3 linked regions of the Callithrix jacchus genome follow. The protein of the gene in region 1 interacts with the protein of each later gene in a biochemical or structural test. Links are inferred from orthologs where the notes say so. Each region holds a gene or a part of one and is shown in the gene's direction. Other genes may lie near its edges.

Evidence for each region.
Region 2: the proteins of NTRK2 (region 1) and PTPN1 form a complex in vitro, tested with the Homo sapiens proteins (2 studies listed by BioGRID, with this or other methods). The link is inferred for Callithrix jacchus from reciprocal best matches to the Homo sapiens genes NTRK2 and PTPN1.
Region 3: the proteins of NTRK2 (region 1) and BDNF form a complex in vitro, tested with the Homo sapiens proteins (3 studies listed by BioGRID). The link is inferred for Callithrix jacchus from reciprocal best matches to the Homo sapiens genes NTRK2 and BDNF.

What each region holds. Positions count from the first base shown.
Region 1 is NC_133502.1:98,299,902-98,303,401, reverse strand, and holds part of NTRK2 (BDNF/NT-3 growth factors receptor), read left to right. Parts: intron 1-2,643; coding exon 2,644-2,949; intron 2,950-3,500. UniProt on the Homo sapiens protein: Receptor tyrosine kinase involved in the development and the maturation of the central and the peripheral nervous systems through regulation of neuron survival, proliferation, migration, differentiation, and synapse formation and plasticity.
Region 2 is NC_133506.1:46,046,775-46,051,060, forward strand, and holds the start of PTPN1 (tyrosine-protein phosphatase non-receptor type 1), read left to right. Parts: upstream 1-1,486; 5' UTR 1,487-1,653; coding exon 1,654-1,716; intron 1,717-4,286. UniProt on the Homo sapiens protein: Tyrosine-protein phosphatase which acts as a regulator of endoplasmic reticulum unfolded protein response. Mediates dephosphorylation of EIF2AK3/PERK; inactivating the protein kinase activity of EIF2AK3/PERK.
Region 3 is NC_133511.1:93,064,347-93,068,595, reverse strand, and holds the start of BDNF (neurotrophic factor BDNF precursor form), read left to right. Parts: upstream 1-1,449; 5' UTR 1,450-1,959; coding exon 1,960-2,184; intron 2,185-4,249. UniProt on the Homo sapiens protein: Important signaling molecule that activates signaling cascades downstream of NTRK2. During development, promotes the survival and differentiation of selected neuronal populations of the peripheral and central nervous systems.

The sequences.
Region 1 (3,500 bases):
TGCACTGTTCTTAAGTATTATAACTAATACAATATACATTTTGAAATTCCAAATTGTGGCTTTTAGCATGATGATGTATATTCAGTAAAAACTATATAGACACTTCATGTCATTGTAAATTCTGACCTGGCATAGTATAAATTAATGAGGTTTTACTCCATTTGGATTGGAACTCAGATGAGAAAAACATGAGTGTGCATGTGTGTAAGTGTGTGGATGAGTTACACATGTGTAGACCCCTGGCCATAGCTGGTGCCAATATGCTGGTTAACACTCACTCATAGCACACATTCAGTGTGTGATTGCTGGAGTGAACAATTGAAATCATCAGCTATAATCCTTTATCACTGTTAGTACCACCACTATGCCCAGTGGGGACTAAACTCATAATTTCTCATCATTTTGACCCACTCAGAAGCCTGAAGTCAATGTTATCTCCAAACGTTTGCAACCATTTCCAACTATATGTCCTTAAATCAGCACCTAACCCAAAATTCATTTGAGCATGGTGGAAGGAATGAGTGGGCCCTGGGTGTGGGGACCTGGGCTGGTGGGAGGAAGGTAAGTGTGGCCTCTGCCCCACTGTGGTCTTTGTGGTGATTGGTTTATAACACAGGTCTATGAGTGTGTGTATCTACACATGTATGGACCTTATTTTGTGTTTTATATATATATATGTATATATAGGGTTCCCCCAAATTATATTTAAATTGAATTTTTATAGATGAAATCACATATTAAAAACTTTTGTTTTCTGAAGACCATTTTAAGGAGGCCTGTGAGAGATATTTGGTAAAGCAAACAATTAAACTTTGCCAATTTAAGTTTAGTAAAGTCGAATTTCTTACAGTGAAGGACACTGTCACAACATACATATGCAGAGTTCAGCTGCACACTTGCTCAATTGAGAGGAATGTCACTGGTAACTGGAAATCTTTCTGTAAATTTATGAAAGTGAATTGGGCTCTTTTATCAGCTTTTCTTCTTTCTAGGTAGTATTGTGGGAGGATTTACCTGAATACAAGTAAGAGGGTAATATCAGATTACCTGTTTTCTATTAAAAATATCCAAACTTGAGTTTTTTCCTCAGTTTCAGGTTAATATCTATATGGTCACTAGGCTCTGAAAAATTGACTTTATCTGTCAAAGTTTAGACAAACAGCAGAAGCAATACATGTTAAAGAATATTAACATCTGACTGGGTGCAGGGGCTCATGCCTGTAATCCCAACACTTTGGGAGGCTGAGGTGGGTGGATTGACTTGAGATCAGGAGTTCAAGACCAGCCTAGGAAACATGGTGCAACCCCATCTCTACTAAAAATACTAAAATTGGTCAGGCATGATGGCAGGCGCCTATAATCCCAGCTACTCAGAAGGCTGAGGCACGAGAATCACTTGAACCTGGGAGGCGGAGGTTGCAGTGAGCCGAGATTGTGCCACTGCACTTCAGCCTGGGTGACAGAGCGAGTCTAAAGAAACGAAAACAGACAAACAGAAAACAGTAGCAACCAAGATAACCATTGCAGAGACCCCACTCAGAGTGCTTGTCTGTTCCCTGGCTACGATGTCTCAGATTTTTTCTCCTCTTGTTTGATGAACACATGCAGTCAGGAAGGAGTGCATGAGAGGGAAGGGCCATTGGATTAAACATTAGGAGACAAGATTCTTGTTCCAGATCTGCCTTGCTCAGTAACCTTGATGAGGTCACTTAACCTCATTGCACTTTGGTTTCTTCATCTGAAAAAATGATGCTGTTAGATCTCAAAGGTCTTTTCTAGTCCTTGATTTTGTAATTACCAAAGTCAGACTACATTAAAATAAACAGATGAAGGATTTTAAATATCTTCACCCAGGATAAGTACTCTGTTTAAAGAGTGTACTTGATTATGTTTGTTTCCCCAAAGGATAAAGTGCTTTATATTTAAAGTTGAAATAATATCTAATCTGTCCAGGTTTAGATTGGACCCCAAACATTTAAAGGATCAAAACACTGGCATGTGGGATCTTAGCAAAAATGGACAACACTCTGATGAAATGTGATACTTTCAAAGGGTATTTACTATTGACAAGCAGTAAAAAATAATGATTTATTATACTTACAATAATTAATCAGTAGCAGCACATATATTACATTGATCAGTTTGATCTGTTTTTGAAGTTTGTGAGATCAGGGCTTCAGGTAAAATTTTAAGAGTCATTTTTGTTATTTGTTTTATTTAGGAAAGAAGTACTATCAAAAAGTATCCATTATTTTATGATTTTTGGTATTTTTGGTGATGAATCTATGTAATATCAAGATACAGATACTATTAGCCAAAGTCAACTTCAAATGGATTCTTTCCACTCTCAGAAATCTCTTGGATCTGTTTGGAGCTGGTTTTCAATTATACTGAATAGATTTGAGAAATGACTGTAATGCATGGGTCTTAAGTAGAACAGTAGAAGGAGTTGCTCTGAAGCTCTCTGCAGGGAGTTACATCCACCCTGATGATGATACAAAATACTGATGGATTCCAGAGTTTCTGGTCATGTGTTTTTCTAAGCCAAATAACAGTTGAGTAAAATTCCCTATCAATGAAGACATCTCGATGGGGAGAATTCTGAGCTTTCTGATGCTATTAACTCTCTCTTTTTCAATTTAGTTGCACCAACTATCACATTTCTCGAATCTCCAACCTCAGACCACCACTGGTGCATTCCATTCACTGTGAAAGGCAACCCCAAACCAGCGCTTCAGTGGTTCTATAACGGGGCAATATTGAATGAGTCCAAATACATCTGTACTAAAATACACGTTACCAATCACACGGAGTACCACGGCTGCCTCCAGTTGGATAATCCCACTCACATGAACAATGGGGACTACACTCTCATAGCCAAGAATGAGTATGGGAAGGATGAGAAACAGATTTCTGCTCACTTCATGGGTTGGCCTGGAATTGATGACGGTGAGTAACTGACGCTTTTGCATGTGGGGAGAAGATACAGTCTATCATTTACCTGTTGACAAAGTCATGTATACAATAAACCATCTCCAAACCCAGTGGCTTAAAACTCCATTGTTTAGTCATGGATCCATAAGTCAGTGGAGTAGTTTTATTTTGCATGTACCTATTGTGGGATGCAGGGTGATGAAGCCGCAGCTACACAGGAGATGTGCTTGTTATGACAAGTGCAGAGTGAAAGAGGACAATAGGAAATATGAGAGTCTTCTTAAGGCCTAGCTTCAGAGCTGGTGCACTGGACTGTCTCTTCAGTGTATCTGCCATTGGCCAAAGCAAGTCACAGGGCCAAAGCCAAGTTAAGGGGCAAGGACAATTTTGAACAGTTATGTGATATACACTGTATTAATAACTACTCTAGGGTGCTTGGGCATTTTATGATAAAAGGGCTATTATTATTATTACCATAATTGTTGCAAGTGTTTAATGAGTTTTTGTACCCACAATGGCAAAACCCATGCAAAACCACAAGCAGAGGAACTGTGTTTGGTTGGGTC
Region 2 (4,286 bases), on another chromosome or scaffold:
TAGCATCAGTGACACCATTTTAATTTTTAGTCTAGTCTGTTGAGACCCTAGTGCGGAACTTTTTTTTTTTTTGAGATGGAGTTTCGCTTTCATTGCCCAGGCTGGAGTGCAGTGGAGCTATCTCGGCTCATTGCAACCTGCGCCTCCCAGGTTCAAGCAATTCTCTGCCTCAGCCTCTGAAGTAGCTGAGATTACACACGCCCGCCACCACGCCCATTAATTTTTTTTGGTATTTTTAGTAGAGACGCGGTTTCACTATGTTGGCCAGGTTGGTCTTGAACTCCTGATCCTGTGATCCACCTGCCTTGACCTCCCAAAGTATTGGGATTACAGGCATGAGCCACCGCGACCAGCTTTTTTTTTTTTCTCTTTTTTTAAGACAGGGTCTCACTCTGTCACCCAGGGTGGAGTGCAGTGGCGCCATCAGAGCTCACCACAGCTGCCACCTCCTGGACCCAGGTGACCTTCCTGCCTTAGCCTCCCCAGCAGCTGGCCCTACCACATCGGCTAATTTTTTTAGCTTTTAGTAGTGACAAGGTCTCATTATGTTACCCAGACTGCTCTGGAACCCCTGGTCTCAAGGCATCTGCCCACCTCTGCCTCCCAAAATGCTGGGATTACGGACGTGAACCACCGCGCCTGGACTCTTATGATTTTTATTTAACATAATGCACCAGGAAATTTGTGCTCTGCCTCGTTCAGTCTGAGTAGGAGTTCCCTGATACTCTGGAAAACATTTAAAATCATTCCAGTAGGCCAGGTGCGGTGGCTCACACCTGTAATCCCAGCACTTTGGGAGGCCGAGGCGCGCGGATCACGAGGTCGAGAGGTCGAGACCATCCTGGCCAACATGGTGAAACTCCGTCTCTGAAGAAAAAAAAAAGAAAGAAAATCATTCCAGTAAAAAAAAGAAAAGAAAAAAATCATTTCAGTACTCCATCCATTCATTCCTGCAGCACCCAAATGGAAATTCTGCGTTTCAGACAGGGCACTACCCTTAGAGTAGTGGGCTTCCCCAGCAGCCTGGTGAACCACGACACTCCTGAGTTTCATGAAAAGAGGGCAGACATCTGGCCAGAGCTGGGAGGCAGGAAGTGGATCACGGTTTACTCCTCCCATACTCTAGCTTGGATTACTGAGGCCAGGGCTCTGGCGCTGCAGGAAAAGTGCATGACTACTTTAAGGCCACTCACTCTGTGACTCAAAGGGCAAGGTGGAGGCTGGAACTCAAGGACCTCCCGGGCCTGGCGAGCCCACGCGCCATGGGCGGGGCTCCCGGGATCGCCTAGGCAACCCGCGAGAGCCACGCCCGAGCCCAGAGCCCCCCGAAGGGAGGAGGGAGCGCGAGCTATTAGACGTCTCGCGGTGCTATGGCTACTTCCCCTAGCACCTCCCCCGACTCCTCCCCGCGGAAGTGCTTGTCGACATTCTCGATCGTTGATTGGTCCTTATGCTTCAGGGGCGGAGCCCCTGGCAGGCGCGGTGCGTAGTTCCGGCTGCCGGTTGACATGAAGAAGCAGCGGCGGCTAGGGCGGCGGTAGCGGCAGGAGTTGGGGCTTGCAGCGGGCCTCGGGGCTAAGAGCGCGACACGGCTTGGAGCGGCAGACAGCACAGTGGGCTGAGAAGGAGGCACAGCAGCCGCCCTGGCCCGTCATGGAGATGGAAAAGGAGTTCGAGCAGATCGACAAGTCCGGGAGCTGGGCGGCCATTTACCAGGTGCGGGAGCGCCCCGGAGCGTGGCGGGCCCTTCGCTTAGGCCGCGGGAACATCCCCCTCAGGTTCCCAGGCCCCAGACTCCCTCTGGGTCTCGCCTCCGCCTCGCCCCTACCGCTTAAGGATTCGATGGGACAGCGACGCACTGCGCCTCCCGCTCTCTTTGTCCCCCTGGTGGGCCTGTTTCTCGTCGTGGCCTTGGAGCCCCCTTCAATCCCCCACCTCCCTCCTATTCTCCAGCCCTGGTGAATTCTCAAGCCGGGGGGCCGCCGGTCTGTGCTCTAAGCGCGAATCCCTCGCACCCTGACCCCGCCCCCTGCCTGTCCACTCTTTGTCCCCTGGGGTGATTTAGCATCCCCACTATTTCCTTTTCTGGATTGGACCACCTCAGACTCTCTCCCTTTGTCTCCCTGGGGAAAAAGGTTACTCACCCCCTTCACGTTTCCTTTCTCCTAGTCTCATTGTGCGTTGAGTCCCAGGGATGACAGTCCCCTTCTCACTTTCTGTTCATTCATTTATTGGATAGGAGTTGGCGAGCCTGTTCTGTACTGGGCATCGCTTAGGCACTGGAGATTGTGTTTGCTAAACAGTACAGGCAAGATCGTAGTCTTAGTGAAGCGTAGAGTCGAATAGGGCAATCAAACACAGAAGCGAATTCAGTTACGGGTGATGTGAAGAGAACGACTTCCTAACGGGGCGACTGCATAGCCAGTACAGGTGCCGGCTGCCTTAGAGACAGGGCTCAGGGAAGGCCAGTCAGAGGCAGAGACATTTGCTTTGTGAGCTGAACCAGGAGGAGCAGAAAGCCATGAGAATATGGGGCTACAGAACCTTCTGGCCAGGAGGCCTGCGGTACCCACTCCATTGGGGCCATGATACTATCTTTTCGGGCAGGGAATCAGGAAGGTTAGCGTTTTAACCCTCTCTAAAATATCATCTTTCCTCAATCAGCAGCTTAGTCTTTGGTCATGGCTGAGATGACCTTGTCTTAGGAGTCTTCATCTCTATGTGTGTTAAAAAGTTAGGAAAGTAGGGTTTCTCGTATATCTATAAAACAAATAGTTAAAAACACAAAGAGATTTTCCTTTCATAAGCAGCTAAATCCTCCGAAGAAAATACGTGCTCCCAATTAAATGTCATTGCGGGGGCTGTGAAGATTAAAACCACACTTGCACAGTATCTTAAATTAAGCAATGTACAGAATAGAGAGATTTTGTTACTTGTATAAAGGGAGAAGGCCTTTTATTCTGTTTTCAGCTTATAGGCTCAAAAGGCAAATTGTGAGATCTATCAGCTGTTTCGAGCACCACTTAAAAAGGAAAAAAGCTTTAAGCAGTTCTTTGGTATGCTTGACTAACAAATGCCTTTTTTTGGCAGCCTTGATTTTCATGTGAATTTACATCAAGCTTATTTGATGGGATTCTTTTTATTTAGACTGTAGTGTGTATATTAGTTTCCACTAGACTAATATTTCTAACTACTGTAATCTATATACTAATACATATTATCAGTATATAAAACTTGTATATCATATCTGGTCTCTGAATTAGTTGAATGAATTCTGCAAGTAACTGAGAATGTGTAGACAGATTTTCTGCATCAGTTTAATGCAGTTGAGTCTTATGGGGCTTTACATGAAAATTCTTGATCTGAAGTGTTGGAATTGATTATGGTGTACCCCATCACAAGTGGAAGCATTGTGGAGAAATCTTTTCTCCACCATGCTCATGTTTGGCTAATTTTTGTATTCTTAGTAGAGATGGGGGTTTCAACCATATTGGCCAAGCTGGTCTTGAACTCCTCACCTCATGATCCACCCGCCTCAGCCTCCCAAAGTTCTGGTATTACAGGCGTGAGCCACTCTGCCCCATCTGTTTCTTACAGTTTTAAGCCAGGGTGGCCTGACCTGTCACCCAAGCATTGTTAAAACTGTTAAGCATGCAACTATTATAGAGTGTGTCAGTTTTCAGTTAAGTTCCTTCGTTGTTCTTAAGGTTTTTTTGCCACAAACCGCACAAGGTAGTCAAGGTGTTGAGATTTTCCTGCTTCTTAATGGATTGCCACATTTCTGGAGGTAGTTTCTTTTGGTCTTAGAAAATTGTCATGGTGGGCTTTTCTCACCTCCACTGTATGGATATTTTTCTTCTCTAAAATCTTGAAAGCAGAAGCTTTTCTCTCTTTTTTTAAGAGACGGGGGTTTCACCATGTTGGTCATGGCTGGTGTTGAACTCCTGACCTAGTGATCCGCCTGTCTCGCCTCCCAAAGTGCTGGGATTACAGGCGTGAGCCACTGCGCCTGGCTGCTTTTCTCTTTTTAAGTGTAAAGCTAGCTCTTTGTCATACAACTGTAGCATTTTCTAAAACCATTCAAATGACCTTGAGTCTAAAGTGGCTAGTTTTCCAAGGTATGTATCATTTTACCAAAACCATTATTTTTCAGAGATTCAATGAAATGTATTTACAATTGGCAGAAAATGAAAGTTTAAAAAAATTAATATTACATGTCAAAATGAGGGCAGCCTTATACAAAGACATAGTTTGAGCTTGCCTAGCCTATTGTGATTAGAGAAGCA
Region 3 (4,249 bases), on another chromosome or scaffold:
ACAGTCGCACCTGAACAGTTGCATTGATGACTGTATCCGGTCTACACAAGAGGCCATACCTGGGCATAAGAATGGACTGACAAAACCTAGCCAACACACCATTGACAAATACACATTTCTTTTGTTAATAATACCTGTGAAGCCTTTCACAACAGACATTTCCAGTTTTGTTTTCAGGCTCCTTGCAGCTGCTCCTCTAAAAGTCTCCTCTCTTCCCAGAGCTGACAATGACCAGAAGCAAGGTGTTCTGTCTTTTGTGCCATCATTTGGGATGTCAGCTCAGGTATCAGTTTTGTATCAACTCAGTATGGCTTGTGGGTCTGTTTGCCTTTGTTATTCATGCCAAGAGCCTCTGGGCATCAGTTCCGTGTGAGAGAACCCATTCCATGACCCTCCTTCTTTTGGCTGTTTTGACTCGATGGCTCTTGTTGGCATAGTCGGTGAATGTCTGATGCTCTATCCATGCCAGACCACCTGCTTTGCTGTCTCTGTGGTCTGAACTAGTTGTCTGAACTACTCTTTGATAATCTGAGATTACCTTGCTCTACCTTTCTTTTCAAGTCACATCTCAGCCCCTCAGCCACATTCCCGAAGAACATGACAAACGGATGGGTCACAAGTCACGTAGCATAGTGTGTCAGACCACCAGGTTTTGAAGGGATTCTGTTTGGGTGCCAAAAAGAAAGATTTTATGTCACCATGATTTTTTTTAATGGCCTGTTGACACTTAGGCCTTAATTGAAAGCATTCTTACTCAAGTAGAGTTGACAGAGGAGTATTTGGTAGTTGTGGTTGCTGGTCTGAAAAGCATGTGGCTCTGTTTCAATACTCAAAGAGATCTTCTCAGGGGAAAAAGTTCTGACATCTCAAACAAATGACCTTCATGCATAGTTTTGACACGATGCCCTATTAAGTATGTGTGTATGGTCGGTACCTTGTGGTAATAATTCAATACGGGGAACAGAGTAGCAACAAAGAAACATTAGGGTTATATTTAACCTCTGTGGAATTGGTGTGTAAACAAACTGCTTATCAGAAATGATCATATGGGGCTTTGTTTAAATAAATAAGAAACTGACACACAGGGTCTGTGGGATATCTCTGCCAAGCAGACCACCCTCACATTATAAGATACCACATCCATGTCTGACCCCATATGGAAAGAGGCATAGCAAGCCAGCACTGGTTCATATTCCGTCCACCACATAGTGGGTTTGTGATCTTAGGGAATCCACCACAATGCTCTGAAACTCTCAGTTTCCTCAGCTATAAATAGTGAATAATCAAATGATCTACCTCACCATTAATAAATGTTAGCTATTTTTAAATCAAGTTTAATACAAAGAGAAACATTTTATTTTTCCAGCTGCCCAGAGCATTTTCCAAAATCCTATCACCAACAAATACTATATTGTATTTATTATAGCAACTTTGTATAAATGGAGTCCCTGTCCTATGCTTAGATGAAATATGTTGGCATTTGAGTTTGCATGTCTTCTATAGGAATAAGTGTTTAGTGAAAATGGGTGGAGACAAACAGATGTTCTCACAGTCCTGTTATTCACAGTACCGCCAAATCGAATGTTTCCATATAGGTGCATTCTAATGGCTTAAATGATGCGGATATTTTCTGGCCAGCCATATGGATCTTTTGTCATCTAAGATGTTAATATTTTCCTTATATTTTATAGTAGTTCTGGAGGACCGCCAGTTTCTTGAATAGGGTCCACATGGCTCATTATGCACAGGGCCTGGAAACTGCCTTACGCATGCTGTTGAGATGAACAGTGACACTTCAGAAGAGCTGGGAGCTGGGGTAGAGCAGTGGCTAGGAGAACATATTCAATTATTTTTCCACTTGCATTAAGCTACAAGTAATGAGCACTTTCCTGTGCTTTACAGTAAGTAATTAAAAGAAATTATAAAGTTGGATGCAAAAATAACCCGAAGGACAACTGGATGTGTGGAGCCACCAGTTTTCTCCATGAGCACACAAGGTTAATCCTTGTTACTGCTCAGAATGCTGAGTTTCTACAGGAAGGGTTGCAGGTCCACACATGTTTTGGCGTCTACCCACACACTTCTGTATGGCATGACTGTGCATCCCAGAAGAAGGGCTGTGCTGTGTGCCTCCGCGTTTCAGTGGAATTTAACAAACCGATCCCTGAAAATGGTTTCATAAAGGTGAGTAACAGCTAATAGCCTTCTCTTGCTAATTTTATCTTTCCCCCAAGATTTCTTGATAATAATTTGAAAAGGAGTGTTATTCCTTGGTCTCTAGAGGCAACTTACCTTTCCAGTTTCTTCCCTCACCTGTTTTCAACTCTCTTGCTTTTTTAAATTTAATGTTCTATGTATTTCAGAAGATAGGATCTAACCTAGTGAGGTCCCTTCATCAGGTGATAATTATCTCATTTTCATTTTGGCCCTCTGAATTAATGGCATTGAAGCCTGGCAGTTTGATCCTAAGATGGGTTTAATTATGTACAGATACTCTTTCTATAATGGAAATTGCTCAGATAACTAATTAACCACAAGAATACACTGACTATGGAAAATTTCAGGAGCACCGTCTGTGGAAAAACTGGGAAGGGCATGCTGTCACCACAGCTCTGGGGTCTATTAAAAGTGTGGTTATGCAGCACTGGTGTCTAGTGGGGCGTTGGCTCTCAACTGTCAGAATTCCCATAGCATTTCATGGCAGAGAGTCAAGATGTCCAGCAATACTCTGAAAGCAACCTGTTGATTAAAGTTGTTAATTCTGAAGAAAGTGATTGAAATAAGACAAATGGGTCTTAACTTTCTTTCTCTTTCTCTCTTTTGTAAAAAAGTGTGATCATCCTGGCATGTGCCCAATCCTAACATAATGCCAACATCTTTTCTTAAAGGGGGATTCTGTTTATCCTTGGGTCTGACAGTTATTGCCTGTTCTCCCCTTAGGGACAATGAATGCAGTTGCATCACCCTTGCTTGCTTTTCTTTTTTTTTTCTTTTCTATTTTTTTTTGGTACAGAACATGCTTATTTTTGGATGTAGGGACTTGAAAGACAAAGCCCCACCTGGCTTTCACAACATCTCCTGTTAGTAGGTGTGCCTTGTATGTAATTTGAAGGAGGCAGTCCCTTAGCTGTGTTTACACTATACTTTTCATTGTGGGGCTGAAGGTGCAATCAACTATACTTGAGATGCTACCTGGGAAAACAGGGTTCTGTGTCATCTCAGCCCCACCCATTTGCAAATGATTTAACAGCAGCACTATTCGGGTTCCTAGTGCAAGTCATTTGCCTTTGGGCCCGTGAACTTGGTGACTTCGTGTATGGAAACAAACAATCTTTGCAGTCTTTTGTAAAAAGCCTAAACAGTGGACCAGTCTCCAGTTCTACTTGGCAAAGCTGCCCCCATCAAATCCCTCATAATGTTCAACTTAAAAATTTTTACTTTTCTCTGGAAATCTAACTTTTTTCCTTTTAAAAAAAACCATTTTAAGTACTTCAGTCTTGAATGAAATGATCCCAAATATTGGACACCAGCTAAAAAATTGAATTACCTTCTGGGAACCTTATTGAAGAAGAGAGATATTGTTTGGAGAGGGGGTTTCGATGCTTGATACTTATATTTACTGTTTTAAGATTTCATTGTTGTTGCTGCTGCTGCTTTATTCCGTAAGTTTTGTTTCTTTAAATTTCATGGTATTTGGTAGGAGAGATCTGGATCTGTTGGTTTCAGGACGAGTCTAGAAATAAGAAATCTGCCTTGAGTGGGTGAGTTGGTTCGCTCTGTTGCTATTTCACCATTTAGGACCAAAAGAACTCACAAGGACAAGAGACATCTGGCTAAAAGTAATACCAGTGTGACTGGACATCTACTACCTGCCATAATTGGTCATATCATTTCCAGTATGATGCTGATTGAGTGAATGATATTAGGCTATGTTCAGGGATCACAGAGGCTAATTGTGCTTATATTGCCTTATAGCATTGTGGTAAAAATTAATGATTATGTAGATGTCCACATTTAGGTTATCAATACTCTAAAAGTTCTCATTGAACCAATCATGTTTATAAGTAGCTTGTACTTTGTAACATAATAACAATAGTGGAAAAATTAGTTGACATAAAAAGAGTGCAGACTTTATTTAATACCATTACAAAAGCAAAGGCATTTTTCCACATAAATGTCCCCATAAAATAAATGGAACCAAAGAGGAAAGATGACAGGTAACCCCATGACATGCTAAGAAAGTATCCTA